Saccharomyces cerevisiae S288C: one gene and its partners. The protein of the gene in region 2 interacts with the protein of the main gene of each other region in a biochemical or structural test. Each region holds a gene or a part of one and is shown on either strand. Other genes may lie near its edges.

The links. The genes of interacting proteins can lie anywhere in the genome.
Region 1: the proteins of PIK1 (region 2) and SEC7 form a complex in vitro, tested with the Saccharomyces cerevisiae proteins (one study listed by BioGRID).
Region 3: the proteins of PIK1 (region 2) and BMH2 form a complex in vitro, tested with the Saccharomyces cerevisiae proteins (one study listed by BioGRID).

The regions. Positions count from the first base shown.
Region 1 is NC_001136.10:795,996-804,197, forward strand, and holds SEC7 (Arf family guanine nucleotide exchange factor SEC7), read right to left. Parts: upstream 6,228-8,202; coding exon 198-6,227; downstream 1-197. Other genes in the region: YDR170W-A (gag protein), read left to right, coding at 7,200-8,202. UniProt on the Saccharomyces cerevisiae protein: Guanine exchange factor that acts as an activator of ARF1 at the trans-Golgi network and is thus involved in vesicular budding and traffic between compartments of the Golgi apparatus.
Region 2 is NC_001146.8:139,150-144,805, reverse strand, and holds PIK1 (1-phosphatidylinositol 4-kinase), read right to left. Parts: upstream 3,929-5,656; coding exon 728-3,928; downstream 1-727. Other genes in the region: IST1 (Ist1p), read left to right, coding at 1-526; LYP1 (lysine permease), read right to left, coding at 4,421-5,656. UniProt on the Saccharomyces cerevisiae protein: Acts on phosphatidylinositol (PI) in the first committed step in the production of the second messenger inositol 1,4,5,-trisphosphate. PIK1 is part of a nuclear phosphoinositide cycle and could control cytokinesis through the actin cytoskeleton.
Region 3 is NC_001136.10:651,942-655,155, reverse strand, and holds BMH2 (14-3-3 family protein BMH2), read right to left. Parts: upstream 1,550-3,214; coding exon 728-1,549; downstream 1-727. Other genes in the region: TVP15 (Tvp15p), read right to left, coding at 1-143.

The DNA.
Region 1 (8,202 bases), on a different chromosome or scaffold from region 2:
AACTTGATAAGTCTTTCTACATAGTTTACATATTTGTTATTGCTATATGATGTACCTTGTTTATGAATTAAACGAATCTAAAAAGGATCACCGCCACTAAATCAGGATTAATATGAGTAAAAGTATATCAACCTTCTCATTTTTTCTGTGTTCTACAACTAAGCATATTTTAATCTGCTGGACCATTCAACAAAGCCTTAATCAGTAGAAAGGTATAATTCACCAACTCTGCTTAGAAATTGTTTTATAGCATGTCTCAACTCCGTTGGAACGCTCTTATCTAATATTTGAATCACCAGAGCATACATAGCAGGACAGTATAGTCTAAAGTCTTCATCATCAAATTCGTAGTAACCTTGTAATATTTCAACTATCACTGAACGCCAGGCATTGATACTACGTTCCATGGTTCTATCATCCAAAGAAACATAACCCTCTACGACCTGGATGCAAATGGTGATCAGACGAGTTATTAAATCAGCCTTCTTCTCATCATCGTTCAGATACAACTGAAACATAATGTCAAGGAGAACTGCAGCAGCACTCGTTTCTTGTTTCAACAGGTTTGGTATTTTATCAACTACACGAGCCTCTACTAGTCTTGTTCTTAACCCATAATCTTCATTAAAGTCACGAGAAAATTCGTACGATTTCTCCAACAATCTTGTAATTCTAATGGCTTCCTTGTAAGGGATACAGTGGGCAAAATCTTCGTTCTCGAATAATTCGTTGAGCAGCTCTATCATCAAAAGCTGTAAAACACATTTGACAACAATAGAATTCTTGATGTTTATTCTCCTACGTATATCTTCGTTACTTTCGTTTCGTTTCATGTGCTTAGTTTTCTTGGGGATACTTAGACTAGCGGGCTTTGGATTCAATTCGTCCTTTACCGTCGGAACGGAATTGCCATTATTAAGCTTAGTTTGCCCATTGAGTGTTTCAACCATGTCACCACCAACGTCTTCGCTGGATTCTTCTTGATGCGCTCTTTCGACCGTCTCACTGATATTAGAATCGTTCTCCCTTCTGTCGTTGCTATCATCATCTGAGTGTTGGCTGGTATCATTAGTTGTTTGGTGATGAGATACAGATGATTTTCTTCCTTGCTGTAACGGATCATAATCGAACAATTCATTAGCAGTGGTTAAATCAAACAATTTATCGAATACGTCACCTATTTGATTCCAATGGTACTCATTGAATTTAGATACGTTTTGCAATATCAATTGTTGCAGGCAGGATCTCCCAATTCTAGCAATAGTGTCATTTTCTTGACAAATACAGGATACCAGCAGACCCAAAAATCCATCGAGCATTCTGTTCAACGATTCAAAGTAATGCGTAAAAAGGGCAATCAAGTTCCTTAAGGCTTGAATTAACGTGGTCGAAAGCCAAACACTTAAATCATCATGACTATTGAATTGGTTGACTTCCCAATGTTTGGATAATACACCGAAAATAGGAAATAGTAACTTCTTACAAATCTTTTCCCAGAAATCATCATTGAATTTACCACCATATGCCACTAGGGCATCGAACATATAGTTTAATGCACGTGATCTAACTTCTAAGTCTTCAGCTGTCATGATCGTATCATTGAAGCAGAATAACATAGGGAACCACACATCCTGGAATATGTCTTTCCCACGAAGTAAAGCATCGTTATGTTTTCTTTCTTCTTCAGTCTTATTTTCATTGTAAAAACAGATGTCTGCGACGTTCTGAGTCATCTTTCTTAGAGACTCCAAAGCATGTAGAGATAGCTTTTGGAATCTCTTATTTTTGGTGATTTCTCTGAAGACACCAACTAACTCAGAAAAGGCATCTTCTTGAGAGAATACGTTTTCGAAGTGATTTGTCACAATATCATTGCTAACCAGCAATTGCGTCTTTAATACAATGGATTCAGTGCTTGAGCGAGCCGTATATTGTAAGGATTCAAGAATAGGCTTCCAGCCAGATTTGATACTTTCCGATTTTGTCAATATGAAGTTCCTAAAACACTCAATAATCATTTCTTGAACTTCAGTGTTGCCACTATTTTGAACCGTGTATTCAAAAGGTTTTAAAAAATCATGTTGAAATTCAAAACCTGATAATTCCTCAATATCTAAAAATCTCATAGACAATTGACGCAGGGAATCGATAGCGAAAAATACTACTGCTAAGTTAGAGTTTGTAGCAATCTTGTTGAAAGCTTTTCCCATAACAGCCCAAAGCGGCGTCCATTCTAGTTTGATACGATCCATATTGTAGTAACATACATCGACCATTTTTTGCAAGGAAAACATTCTTGGTGTGGAAGCATTTTCAGATGATTCAATTTCTTCTAAAGATACAGCGGTTAAAGCTTTGATAAAATCAACGATAGCATTACCTGATAACTCGGAACTTTTGGTAAATATATTGTCCATCAAAACGACTAATTCACTGGAGGAAATGAATTTAGAGATTTCGGGTGATAAGGTTTGATTATGGTGTTTTTCTTGAGCCAATTCTGTGGGAGTTGCCTTCTTGCCCCAAACATCAAAGAAAGATGTATTATTGGATCTTGATGATTCGTAAGAAACTCTAGGGTTTGCAACACGAGCTTGTGCAACATCTGGAACCGTATCTCTGTCGATACCTTTGGATATCAATTGTAGTCTTTCCATTTGAGACACGACCAGCAAAATGTCCTTCCACGATCCCTCCAAGTAATTTCCTTCTGATAACGCGACTTCAAGAAGAATTACCATTGCATTGACATTTTTAACTTTGATTTCTTCAAGGTTTTGAAGGTTACAAAATTGGACTAACGCACCTACAAAGGAGGTTCTAGCATCATTGATTCTAAAAGTAGAAGCAATTTTAATTGATATTTTCAAGCCTTCTAAACACTTATTGGTTGTGTCAATGTCATCATAATCCTTAAATGGGGGGGTTAGAGCTGCTAAAAAGGACATCCATAGTGTCTCGAAAATTGATTTAACATGCTCAACGTGGGAAGCAGCATAATAGACGTCTGGGCCTCCTTTATTTTTGTTTAAATTCTTAAAGACTAATTCCGTTTTAGATGAAATTTCTTTTGAGACTTGATTATATGCCTCTCTTGTCAAATCACGAGAATTAAAGAAGTTGAAAGCAGATTGCTGTTGTTGGACAAGATTGGTATCACCTGAAAGCATTGCCTGATGCTGTTCAGAAATTAACTTGATTTCATTGTTAGCAATTTCGTTGAACAAACCTTCCAAGAAGTCTCTTGGTAAATCTCTTCCGTTGTCAATACCTTCGTTGTTTTCTAAAAACTCTTGTAAAGACATTTTATTTTTGATTTGTGACGAATGTAAATCAGTATTCAACATGATCAAAGAATACGAAAGCACATATGCAGTATCCGCCTTTGAAAAGACTCCGGGGTTTTGGTCCACAAATCTTTCCGCAAATTTCAGCATGAATCTGTCAATTTTTTGACCTTCTCCAGGCAATCTGAAACTTTGTAAAAATGACCTTAATGCGTCAACAATGGACATACCAGTGAAGTCAAACTCATCAACAAATGCGTGCATTATAGCGATGTTCTTGTCGTCTCCTTCGCCTAGATAATCCCCAACAGCGGCCATGTCGAGGCCTTCTGTTTCTAATAACCACTTGGCAATGGAAATTGGAGAATCATCTTTCAAAAATCCTTTTTTAATAAGTACTGGAATAGCTTTCTTGGGTTTATTGTTGAAAATAGCAATACATTCCGATAAAGCAGTTTTCCTTAGTTTCAAATTTTCAAATTGTGTGGGGTCGTCTGCGTCAATGTTTTGACTGCTCAATGATCTGCTTTCTTCGTCTTCATATGTTGGTTTGAAGTCATCATTACTTGTCATAATAGAAGACCTTACGTCGTTACTCAAAGATGATCTAGATTCTTGACGAGCTGAAGATGTTGTGTTTAGTAATACCTTATTAGCAGTGTGTGTGTTTGGATTTAAAGCTTTGTGAGCCCATGAGCTTAAGGAACGCAAAACTGACACAATGCAATTTAGTGACACCATTTTGAGAGCAAAATCAAGTGGAAAAAGTAAATTGACTTGACCAACATCAGGACTAGAAGACAAGTTGGAAGAAGTCAAAAGGGGCAATTGTGAGAAATTGTAGGTGGACAGGGATTTTGATATTTGTTCATCGTAGTATGATCTTTGAGTCTGAGTAATTTCCACCCTAGTTAAAGCCAATCTTGTCAAATAATCAACAGTTATTTCCATTACATTTGGCATTCCAGGGTTACAATCATAATTCAAGTAAAATTCAACTAAAGTTCTTGGGTCGTTACAAATTCGTTGAATAACACTTAAAAAATATCTCTTTTGTTGGGAGGTGGAAGTGGTTAATTCTGAAATGGGGAAGTAGATTTCTGTTAAAAAAACTGGAATTTCCTTCACGAAATCTGCTCTCAAATTAGCAATCAATAGCCACATAATTTCTAAAGTAACCTCGAAAACTGGAGCTAGAGGCGAGGCAGCATTCCTTGATAAAACAAGACGTAAATATTGTCTAATTGAATCGATAAAGCACACACGCTCCTTTCCTGGTAGAAAAATGTTGTGGGAAAGGAATACGTCAATATGATCTTTGATAATAGAGTAAATGATGTGAAGAGATAAAAGCTTTGACCTGACGGCATGTGACCTCATGTCGAGTTCTGTTTCCAAAGGTTTAGCACATATTTTCGCCATGACTCTAAACACTAAGAACGCATCTTTAACAGCTAGATCTTGGTTAGTTATGGCGATAGAATCAGGCTGTTGAGCGTCCATTAGTCTTTCCTCATCGTCATTCAACTTATCCATATTTTCCAGAGTTAAAGGAGCCGGCGTTTCTGCATTTTCAGAAGCCTCGGAAAGTTCTATGGCGGATTGTTGTTGATGATTTTTTGTCGATAAGGATACTGCTGAAGAGGTACTTTGTTTGAGATCGATTTTATCATACACCGAACTAATAATTTGTGTCAAGGTCGCCTGTGCAATACCTTGATTGGATGGGTTCAACGAAAAGACGAAAACGTTGTAGATTGTTCTGATAGCCTTTAGCAAGGAAGCACCGTGGCATAAAGAACTTGAATCCTCTTCTAAAATGCAACTAGATAAAGCTCTAACGATTTGTAGTTCCACACGGTCATCAGTGCCTTCACCTTGAAAACAGTCTGAAATAGTATCAATTGCAGCGTCTATAATTTTTTGTTTTGGAGGCGGCGTTATTCCATCGGCAGCATCTTGTCGTTGATCATTAGAGGCTAAAGAATCGGGTGGATTCACTAACAGGGTCTCGTCTAGCGATCTAAAAGAAAACAATTTTGACAGGCAATCTAAAGCCAAACTTTGAACTTTGGAGGATTTGGTACGACAGCTTGCCCTTAGTGCTTCGAATACTAGTATTGAATCCACGTAATGTGGGTTATTCGTGGTTTGCGGATCAAATTCCTTAAATTTTTGTAATGTCCTTTCGATAGCCTTCTGAGCATTCGAATTCTTTTTAATGTCCTTATCATTTAAAATTGTCTCCAACGTAGTTTTCACTAAAATTATGGTTGAGTTTGTGTTCGAACCATTTGAAGATAGTGATATGTTCCTCGTATGGGTAGACCTTGGGGCAGTAGAATCGTTGGTGGGAACACTATCTTGATGAGCGATAGCTGGTTCGCCAGCATTTTCCTCTTCTTCTTCTTCTTCTTCTTCTTCTTCTTCTTCTTCTGACCCGCTTTCATCACCAGAGGAGCTGTTTGATGTATTTCCATCGCTTTCATCAGATTCTTCATCTTCTCCAGAGCTACTCTCAGTACTTTCCCCTGAGACTGATTCAGAATCTTCCCCGTCTTCGGAACTGGTTTCGGAACTACTGCTATCCACGTCCTCATCATCCTCGTCCCCATTGTCTTCATCTTCATCTTCATCTTCATCTTCATCTTCATCTCCATCTTCACCTTCATCGTCATGGCGTTTGTCATTTGTATCTTCCGTTTCTTCGGGCGTTTTCATTCCGTTGGTAGCGTCGTTACTTGTTTCTTTTGTTTCTGCCGTACTGCCAGCGTTTTCTGGCCCTTTGCATTTTTGATCTTCACCATTTGTCTCTTTAGCTTCTTCTTTAATAGCATTCTGTGGTTTCACAGACGGATTGACTGAAGAAGCAGTCTCTACATTTGAAGATATTTCGCCATCCCCTTTTTCAGCATTTACTACTGAATTCTGTTCAGACATCAGATATAGTAGCACTTAGACTTGTTTCTTATCTTCTTTAATGGAATTCGGGGAAAAAATGAGAAAGAAACAGTTTAAGATATTACTTTTTATTGGTTCTGGAGAAACTTAAAAGAAATCGAGTATAGCTTAGTTGCAGAAAATATTTTATATTTCTCCGGAAAATGACTTCAATTTCTATTAGTCTGCGTTTATTGAACAATTGGAGAGAAGCCAATGATGCTTTTTAAAGAAATGATGTAAATCCCAACTTTGAGCTTCCTTTCTCGTTGCTTTGTTTTTCCCTCGCCTCGATATTATAAAATTTACTCGGCGCCTTGATAAAAACTAAACGTTCACCTTCTTTCCTGTAGAGGGAAAATAACAATATGTATAAGCCTTCTCCGACATCAAAAAACTGTAAGAGCTTCAAAAGTACTAAAGTGTATATCTTAAGAGCATCGTTGGCTCCACTCTAACACATCAACAAAAAATATCAATGTTGATTTGTTAGAGTAAAAATAAAAAGAGGTCCTACCCGGATTCGAACCGGGGTTGTCCGGATCAAAACCGAAAGTGATAACCACTACACTATAGGACCGACAATTCATGTTAAATCCTCCTTTTTTAGGCTTTTATAAGTTACTTTGACTAGAGATGACTAGAAATGATTATATTACACGCACACACAATACACACATAGTGTTGGAATAAAAATCCACTATCGTCTATCAACTAATAGTTATATTATCAATATATTATCATATACGGTGTTAAGATGATGACATAAGTTATGAGAAGCTGTCATCGAAGTTAGAGGAAGCTGAAGTGCAAGGATTGATAATGTAATAGGATAATGAAACATATAAAACAGAATGAGGAATAATCGTAATATTGGTATATAGAAATATAGATTCCATTATGGGGATTCCTGACCCTCGAGGAGAACTTCTAGTATATTCTGTATACCTAATATTATAGCCTTTATCAACAATGGAATCCCAACAATTATCTCAACATTCACCCATTTCTCATGGTAGCGCCTGTGCTTCGGTTACTTCTAAAGAAGTCCAAACAACTCAAGATCCGTTAGACATTTCAGCTTCCAAAACAGAAGAATGTGAGAAGGTTTTCACTCAGGCTAATTCTCAACAGCCAACAACACCTCCCTCAGCTGCTGTTCCAGAGAACCATCATCATGCCTCTCCTCAAGCTGCTCAAGTACCATTGCCACAAAATGGGCCGTACCCACAGCAGCGAATGATGACTCCCCAACAAGCCAATATTTCTGGTTGGCCAGTATACGGGCACCCATCTTTGATGCCGTATCCACCTTATCAAATGTCACCTATGTACGCTCCACCTGGAGCACAATCACAGTTTACACAATATCCACAATATGTTGGAACACATTTGAACACCCCGTCACCTGAGTCAGGTAATTCATTTCCTGATTCATCCTCAGCAAAGTCTAATATGACATCCACTAATCAACATGTCAGACCACCGCCAATCTTAACCTCACCTAATGACTTTCTAAATTGGGTTAAAATATACATCAAATTTTTACAAAATTCGAATCTCGGTGATATTATTCCGACAGCAACAAGAAAAGCCGTACGTCAGATGACTGATGACGAACTCACCTTCTTATGTCACACCTTTCAACTATTTGCTCTATCTCAATTCTTACCCACCTGGGTTAAAGACATCTTATCTGTTGATTATACAGATATCATGAAAATTCTTTCCAAAAGCATTAACAAAATGCAGTCTGATACTCAAGAGGTAAATGACATTACGACCCTAGCAAATTTGCATTATAATGGAAGTACACCTGCAGATGCATTTGAAGCAGAAGTCACAAACATTCTTGACAGACTAAAAAACAATGGCATTCCTATCAATAACAAGGTAGCATGCCAATTCATTATGAGAGGTCTATCTGGCGAATACAAATTTTTACGCTACGCACGTCATCGATATATACATATGA
Region 2 (5,656 bases):
ACTTAGCCAATTGAAAGATTTGATGGCCTGGAAAATAAACGTTGAGTTTGTTAATGGAGTAATAGCAGATCATATCGATGTCCCTGAAAAGATTATAAAAAAATGCTCTCCCTCAGTTCCAAAAGAAGAACTAGTTGATCTTTATTTGAAGGAAATCGCGAAAACATACGATGTGCCATATAGTAAGCTGGAGAATTCCTTATCTTCGTCGTCTTCTAACATTTCTTCAGACTTTAGTGACCCCTCGGGAGATATCGAGGATAATGACGAAGAAAAGCCTATTTTAGCCTTAGATAATGACGATAATGACAATGCAGATGCTAAACACCCTATCACTGTTAAAAAGCCTAGGCAGAATAGTGAAAATATCAAGAACGAGCTCAAGATTCCGAAAGATATCAAAAAGGAAGTGATCGAAAAGAAACAATCAGAAAAGAAAACTACAAAAAGAAAGACTAAGAAGGAGCAAGAAAATGATGAACTAGATGAGTTGAAGAAACGGTTTGACGCTTTACGCAGAAAATAAGATAATAATTTATATGTATGGTTAATTAACCACATATTTATTTTACTCTCATTCTTTTACCTTGCTTTTTCTGAGTCAGCTGCTCTATTATTCTCGGCAATAAATAAATATATGTATATTCCTTTTACTAAAATTCCAATTTTTTTGTTCTCCGGACATTTGCAAATTGTTTTTCCAGTTCTGTCACAGCTATTTTCCTTCTCAGCTATATATACCCTGTGTAATAAGTTGAAATTGGTCGTATATTCTGGTGTAAATACTACCCAAAGATTTACCTATCAAGAAATTTTCTACGAAGTCATCAACTTCTTTTTCTGATAAGTCCAATTGGAACCTTTGTCGTAGTTGTACACTTGTTTGTTCGCCAGCATCGAAACAAGGCTGCATATTGTCCTTTTGCATAATCTCACACATTGATACGATTTGATCAGCATACTTTCTCAGAGCCTTGAACGAACTTTTAGTTAGTTCAACAAACTTTTTAAACGCTTCTCCCTCTACTCCGCCTAGCAGTTCAATATATTCGTAAGTTAATTTGAATGGTGCGGCCTCAAAGCCCACTGAGCCGGGTGAATTTGATAGCATAAATCCAAAATCGATGTGACTTACATGGCCTTCGTTATCGATCATAATGTTACCGTTGTGTCTATCTTTAACCTGCAAGAGATAGCAAATGACAGAATATGCGGCTAACGAAGAAGCAAAGTTGTCTTGTGCTCTTCTATACTTAAATCCATTAGGATTACCAAAAGCTCTAAGGAAGTGATCATTCAAAGAGGCAATACCACCCTTGTCATCTAGTTCTGCATCTTCAATCATTTTTTTGGTTAAAGCCTTTTTAATACTATGCACAGACATAGCATTTGTGATGGTCTCCACAAGTCCCGTATTCGCACTAGTAATTAAAATTTTCATTCTTTTAACCCAAACGTCAACTTTTTCTTTAACCCAAATATTGGCCATCGCTTGAATCATCTGGTATGCAAACGCCTCCTGTCTCAAATCATCACCCGTCTTGGCGATTACAGAACATAAATCCCAGTTTTCGAAATGGCCATATTCCGAAGTTTTACGTATCCTCTCTTTCTTGGTAGCCCAATCTTCACCTAGATATGAAGTGTCAATACCACCCGTCATTAAATCGTTTTCCAATTTTCTCTCACCTGCCATTCCATGAAGGGCTTCCAAATCATGGTAACCAAATTTATCCTGCACCTCCTTCATTGATGAAATAATTTGAGCGCGGATTTGTTTGGTACTTTCTGATAACTGTTGTGGCGACTTATCCAATTGTGCTAACATAACAGCTGAAACTCTCATCTGGTCTGCTAAAGCGTCAGTTTGGCTATGTATATTTTTGCTATTAATTCCATTCTCGATGAGTACTTCGTCCAAGTTTGAGCCAAAGTTCAACTCTGGGCTTCTGTCTTGACTATCATCAGGTAAAATTGGAACATTTGCGGCACTCTGTATTACTAAAGCATTTCTATACGCTTCGTCATCCGTTCTGTTCCTGACTTTTACCATTGACATATCACCTAAATCTTCCTCTTTATTGACTTCAGTCCTAACATGAGCTGTGGACGCTGAATCACTTCTTGAGGTACTGGATAGACCTTCATTGCGGGAGGCCCCGTTGTTGAACGAGTTACTATCATATACCGAAGATCGAGTGTTGTTGCTAGTAAGAGTACTTTCATTTCTATTTTCGTTGTTTTCTTTTCTATTCATGTAATTTAAATCAAATATCAAGCCTCCCTGATTACCACTGATCTTCTTTAATAATCTTTCATTGGTTTCACTTGTTGGGTCAAAATCAAATTCGTCTCTCAAGTATTCTATCAGGAGTAAATATGGAACTTTTTCTGCAGAGTTCAAAACTTGTGCCTCATTAGCAGTAATGGTCACTAATTTATGTAACTTTCCTTTTTTATTTGGAGGCAATAAAGTGGGGATATCTACTTCCGCTGGTAGGTCCCTGTTTAATAGAAACAACTCGGCTCGTAAGGCACTCAATCTAGCTTCTGTCGGTACTCGAGCTAGCCTTTGAGATATTGTTTCTAGCGCAATGGCAAATTGTGTCTCGCAACGAAAATAATTTGCTTTTAACATTTTTATTTTTGAAGTGGTCGATAATTGCGACAAGTCAATTTCTTGACTCAAAGAAGAATTCGCTTTTTTACTGTTTTTGAATGCCTGGCGCGAAAGGGGTTGGGAATTGGTCCTGTTTAACTTAGGTGTCCCTTCTAAAGAAGCAGATGAAGCAGAAGAAGTCCTTGGTTGAATATTATGCAGATCTGGCATAGAACTGGTGAAGTGATCAGAGTTTAAAGCGTCCGCGTCCTCCTCCGTTTCACCACCAGTTTCATCTTCATTGTTACCAATCTCATTATTTTCATCATTACGTCCCTTTGGAGAAATATAATCACCTTTATTTCCATCGAGAGCCTTTGCGGTATTTGAAATGCTTCCGTCCCTGTTTATATTTTTGCCATCATATGTCCTATGAACGTATGAATTATCCAAATACTTAGGTTTACGTTTTGGGAGTTTGATTGAAGATGAGATTCTTTCTTCAAAGACCTGGTTACCTATATCATCCACAATGTCGAAATCCAATTTTACCTCACTATGTCTGGATTTCCTGAAGGATGCATCTTCTTTAGTTTTTATTGGATCTATTAAATCTATTGGAGAAGTCGGAGTTGAACTGCGATTTGAGCTAACTCTTTTGGATCTGGAAGTTTTCTTGTTTAGTAGGGTATTTTTCAAGGTCATGTTCTTGGTAAAATCTTTCATTGCACTTCTAGCCAACTTAAAAACGAAAGCTTTTTGTCTTCTACCTTGAGATTCCACTAATGGTTTGGTCACTTCGCTTAATTGGGGGAATGCTATAGCCGACATTATCATAGAGGAAAGAACTAAGGCCGGTGCAACGTTTTCATGTATTTTAACATTTTTATCGCTACCTGAACTTGTGTTAAAGAGATTGGTTTGTAAGTTGTTTAAGACTCTTCTAGCCACTTGGAAGCCATAAGAAGCGGGGTCAGTAGATAAATCCGTTAGTAACGCTTGTAACTGCCAAAACGTCAGTAGTGCAAAATGAGGGTTTTCCGCCCTCAACCTTAATAGTAAATCTTCTAAAGCCATTGATTCTGTCTCCATGGTGACGAGGACCTGTACTAGTTGGGGAATATAGAACTGTAGTTCGCTGTGAGGAAATGTGGCCAATTTCTGACATAAATAGTAATGTATACCAATATTTTCGGAGTGTTTGCACAGTAACTCCACACAATTGTGAAGGGTGAATTCACTAGAGTTGATCAGTTTCAGTAATTGTTCATTTTTTTTTAGTTCAATAGTATCATCAAAGCTTTTCTTTGAACTGGATGCTTTATGCATAGTGAAGAGAACGAATGCTTAATGAAAACGAACGCTCGCAATGAAGAAAAATGATAAGCTAATTGAAAATTTCTAGCAGGGTCCAGGGATCTTCTTAATATAGAAGTTGGGCCTAAAAAATGAAGGGTCTTCAGTATAAGATCTTGTACTTTTAGTTTTTCTCTAACGAATTTTTTGGTAGGGTTCTTTTGTTTCAGTGCAATAACACGAAAATGACAACAGTTGAACATATCGTGAATAATGACCCTGTTATACACGCTATCAAGTACGTAAAGGATAATATGGAAAATTTATTATAGATTTGAGTACTATCGCTGGCCGAAGGTGACAATGGCCTTATGATGTAACATACTATGAATAGTGAATAATAAGTGGTGATATTATACATAAAGTTTGGGGCAATCCCTCAAAATCTCTACAGGCTATTTTGATTAATGAAACGTCTATTTTTTTATTTTTTTCTATTTTGAAGGCATGCAAGAGGTTCTGTGACTATGCAACAGCAGCCCAGAATTTCTCCCATAAATTCTTAGGCTCGTCGTCTTCCCAAATAATTGCTTCGATTTCTCTTCTGTCGGAATCGATGTCAATATCTTCTAGCTTCCAAATAAATCTGCATTTGTAGTATATCTGGCAACCAATGAACACAACGGCTAAAAGAATCAAGGAGATGTAAGATGTGAAAAACTCAGAAACTTTGAACGGACAGAACGCTTGGAACCCTTGGATGAATATGATGACGGTGACAAAAAAGGCTGCGTAGTAGGCACCATAAGGCATCAATTTGGCCTTGAAGGGCAGATCATCACGAGAAATACCACGGTGCTTTAAAGCTTGCATGAACCTAATATGTGCCAAAGAGATGAATAACCAGGCGCATAACCCAGCCAAAGTGGAAATGTTGATCAACCAGTTAAATGCAGTGTTTGCATTGTTATTGACAACCAGGAATGCCAAAAGACCCAATGCAGCAGTGCAAACAACACCGAGATATGGAACACCCTGTCTGGTGACGTATCCAAATTGCTTTGGTGCGTTACCAGTCCTAGCTAAAGAGTAAAGAACACGGGAACCAACGTAAACATTCGAATTAGCGGCAGATACAACAGTAATCAACACCACGGCGTTGAAAATATCTGGAAGAGCATAAGTACCAGCGTTTTGAATGGAAATAACGAAGGGTGATGATGCAATAACAGCAGAACTAGCAGATAAACGGGAATCGTTGTATGGAACCAGTAGACCAATAAAGAACAAAGACATAATATAGAATAGTACGATTCTAAAGACGACTTTATTGATAGCTCTTGGAACGGTCTTTCTTGGGTTAGCCGCTTCACCAGCGGTGATCCCAACCAGTTCAGTACCTTGGTACGTAAATGCAGCATTAATCAAGGAGGAGACCCATCCGAGAAAACGGCCTTCACTTTTATCACTGGAGATGATGCCTGGCCCCCAGGCTCCTGGATTTCTCCAGTACCTGAAACCGATAGGGCCCTGGTGGGATCCACCGCAGACAATAATCAAAGCATATATCAAGTAACCCATAATGGCTAAAACTTTAACAGAGGCCACCCAGAACTCAAATTCACCATAAACTTTGACAGGGAAAAAATTCATCAAAGTAATAATTACCCAGAATATCGCAATCCAGGCCGCTAATGGAACTTTATCTGTCCAGTATTCAATAACTTGGCCAATGACAGAAACCTCCACAGCATAAGTAAT
Region 3 (3,214 bases), on a different chromosome or scaffold from region 2:
GAGAGTGCCAGTCCGTAAACTGCCAAGAGGAAGACGTTTAAATTGGTGAAAATATACGTCAATTGTGAAAGGGCAGCAATAATGTCTATGCAGCCAATTGATATATTTGCAATCTTGAAGAATTTTGGAGGAATAACTGACATCCTTTCGTTTGTGATCCCTTGTGGTTATTTGACTTTGTTTATTGTCCTCTCTTGTAAGACATACATATTAATGGTCATAGTTTTCCACTCGAAGTATTTTTCCGTTGCGGATTTACGCTACTATACCCCCGCCCCCCTACACCCAGGGAGCGCTGTTTCATCAAATGAGAAAAGATGCCTTCACCTTCAATAGGTAAGGTAGATCAAGATTCAAAGGAAAACAGAAGAAAGAGGTGCGTATACAATGGAAGGAACTTATTTTAAAACATACGAAAATTACTACTCAATTACTCTCGCAAATTGTCTCAACTCTGAACGATAGCCAAAATATAAGAATACACGAAGAAAACAGTGATAGAAGTAATAGTAACAGAAAAACTATTTTATGTTATATATTAAGAAACTATTTTTTTAGAGGTTTGTATATTTTGTAGTTGGTAAAATTGAAAATTTTGTGAATTTGTATTAGACGAAGATATTATCTCTTCCCCTAAAAAAAGTATCAAAATCGAATTGCATTCATTTTCGTTAGCAAGAAAACTGGAGTGGTAAATCTTCATTTCCCCTTGTATTTCTCAGCGCTCTTATTTGGTTGGTTCACCTTGAGTTTGTTCAGCTGGAGCTTGTTGTTGCTGTTGTTGCTGTTGCTGTTGCTGTTGTTGTTGTTGTTGTTGATCTTCTTGACCAGATTCAGAAATATCAGAGGTCCATAAGGTCAAGTTGTCCCTTAATAATTGCATGATCAAAGTGCTATCCTTGTATGATTCTTCAGATAAAGTATCTAACTCAGCAATAGCATCATCAAAGGCTTGTTTGGCCAAGTGGCAAGCCTTATCAGGAGAGTTTTGAATTTCGTAATAGAAGACGGAGAAATTCAAAGCTAGACCTAAACGAATTGGGTGAGTTGGAGGCAATTCAGTTGTGGCGATTTCGGAAGCGGTTTTATAAGCCTCCAAAGAGGAGTTGGTTGCCTTTTCTCTTGCATCTCCGCTGGAAAATTCAGCTAAATAACGGTGGTAGTCACCCTTCATCTTATAGTAAAATACTTTAGACTCACCAGTAGTAGCAGAAGGGATTAAATGAGAATCTAACACAGATAAAATGTCGTCAGAGATTTTGGTCAATTCAGTTTCAATTTTAGAACGGTAAGAACGGATTAATTCAACTTGATGTTCAGATTTCTCCTTTGATTCTTCTTTTTGTTCGATCGAAGAAACTATTCTCCATGAAGCACGGCGAGCACCGATGACGTTCTTGTAAGCAACCGACAATAGATTCCGTTCTTCGACAGATAACTCTTGACCTGATGAAGCAACGGCCTTCATGTTTTCGACCATTTCTTCATAACGTTCGGCTTGTTCAGCTAATTTAGCTAGGTAAACAGAATCTTCACGAGTTTGGGACATTTTTTTTGTTGTAACGGGTACTTTTTGTTGATTTGATAATTTTTCTTTTTACTTCGTTTTGAAATTGTCAGAGTATTAACCTTCTGTCCAAGTTTTCTCGTTCTTTGCTTTTCCCCCTTAATCAATCGAAAAAAATAATGATTAAAAACCGGGAGAGGCAATTTTTTTTGAAAAAATAAGTTAGTAATTGAAATTTGATAAAAAGAACGAATGTTTAAGATAGCTCAAAAGATTTCGTAACCTTTGATGATGAATATTTGAAAAAAAAAAGACTACTGGAGGGACTTATAATAACATTTGCCCCTTTCGACCGACTTTTTCCTCGTATTTCGTGTGTGTCATTTTGCTGATCCGGGTGACACACTACTAATCATTTCGAGCAGACGACCGATTTGTCCGTTCTTCCTAAACAAAAAAGGGACGATTTCAATAGTATTCGCTGTATTATTATCTCTGGTCATATGAATACCCACGCTTGAATTACGGATTGGTCGTAACAAAAATAAGTGTTACCTCGCTGTTCTGACAGAGATAACTAAACATTTCAGAATGCAACATCACACGGGTGGACCTATGTTCTAGTTCTTGTATTAGAAGAAAGCAATCCGCTGTGCTTAAACCAATATAAGATATATATAAAAAAAAGAAAGTGGGAAAAACAAAGGAAGAGAAACTATAACACTTCACTTTCAAGGCCTGTTAAGTTGATATAATTAACATTTTCAGGAGAGTAACATTCATGTCGGTAATAATTCAAATCAGAGAAGATGAAGGTGGTTGTGGAAGGAGCTATTAATGAAACAAGTTATTGAGAGGTAAAACATACGGTTCGATTCAAATATGAATTCTTAAATTTGAAGGTGGTGTGGAAAAGAATGCAATTGATCGCGCTAATTTCAAAAGATAATATTAAGTAGAAATGAGGGAAGAAGCTGAAGCGAAAGATATATAAGTCATCAATATATATAAACAGGGACTTTGTTTATGAGCTCATGTTATAAATACAGATAAGACAGAATTGAGAAAGAGGAGAAAGAGCGATCTATGCGATTCGCCCCCGAATCTTCTCGTCACGGAAGACCGTGCATTTTCTACGGCAGCGGCTATGGTGTAATTGTCATTAACAACGGAGAGTGTTTGAGCGGCTAATTTTCGGTATTCCAAGAGACAAATTTGATTTGTACGAGGTATATGAACGATGCTCACTATATGTTGGAACTTTTGAAACATCTTTGTCTATTTCTCACAGAAATTGATGCTGTGTTACTTCGTTTCATGATTTTTCGGAAAGATACTGTGTAAGGTTATCATATATGAAGCGATACGTGCTGACCATAAAGCAGTACTTCAATAAAACGTTTTCCGAAAAAATGTAGTGTTGGAATGAAATCTTAGTGTCATTTTTTGACTAGTGTTCATGCTAATAATATTTTTTTAATGCAGTCTTTCAGTCTTCTGTTATGTAGTTTTTGTCATGATTAGAACAATTTATTCCTCGAAGACCTTATTCTTCTCATTGATGTTGCCATACACTATGTGTGCCATCTGGAGATTTTTATTAGCTCGTTATGTGAATGACTATTTACTTTACAGAACGATAATGGCGCGCTCATTGTATTAAGACTCCTATAACCTATAGAGTACTATTTTATATTATTGCTATAT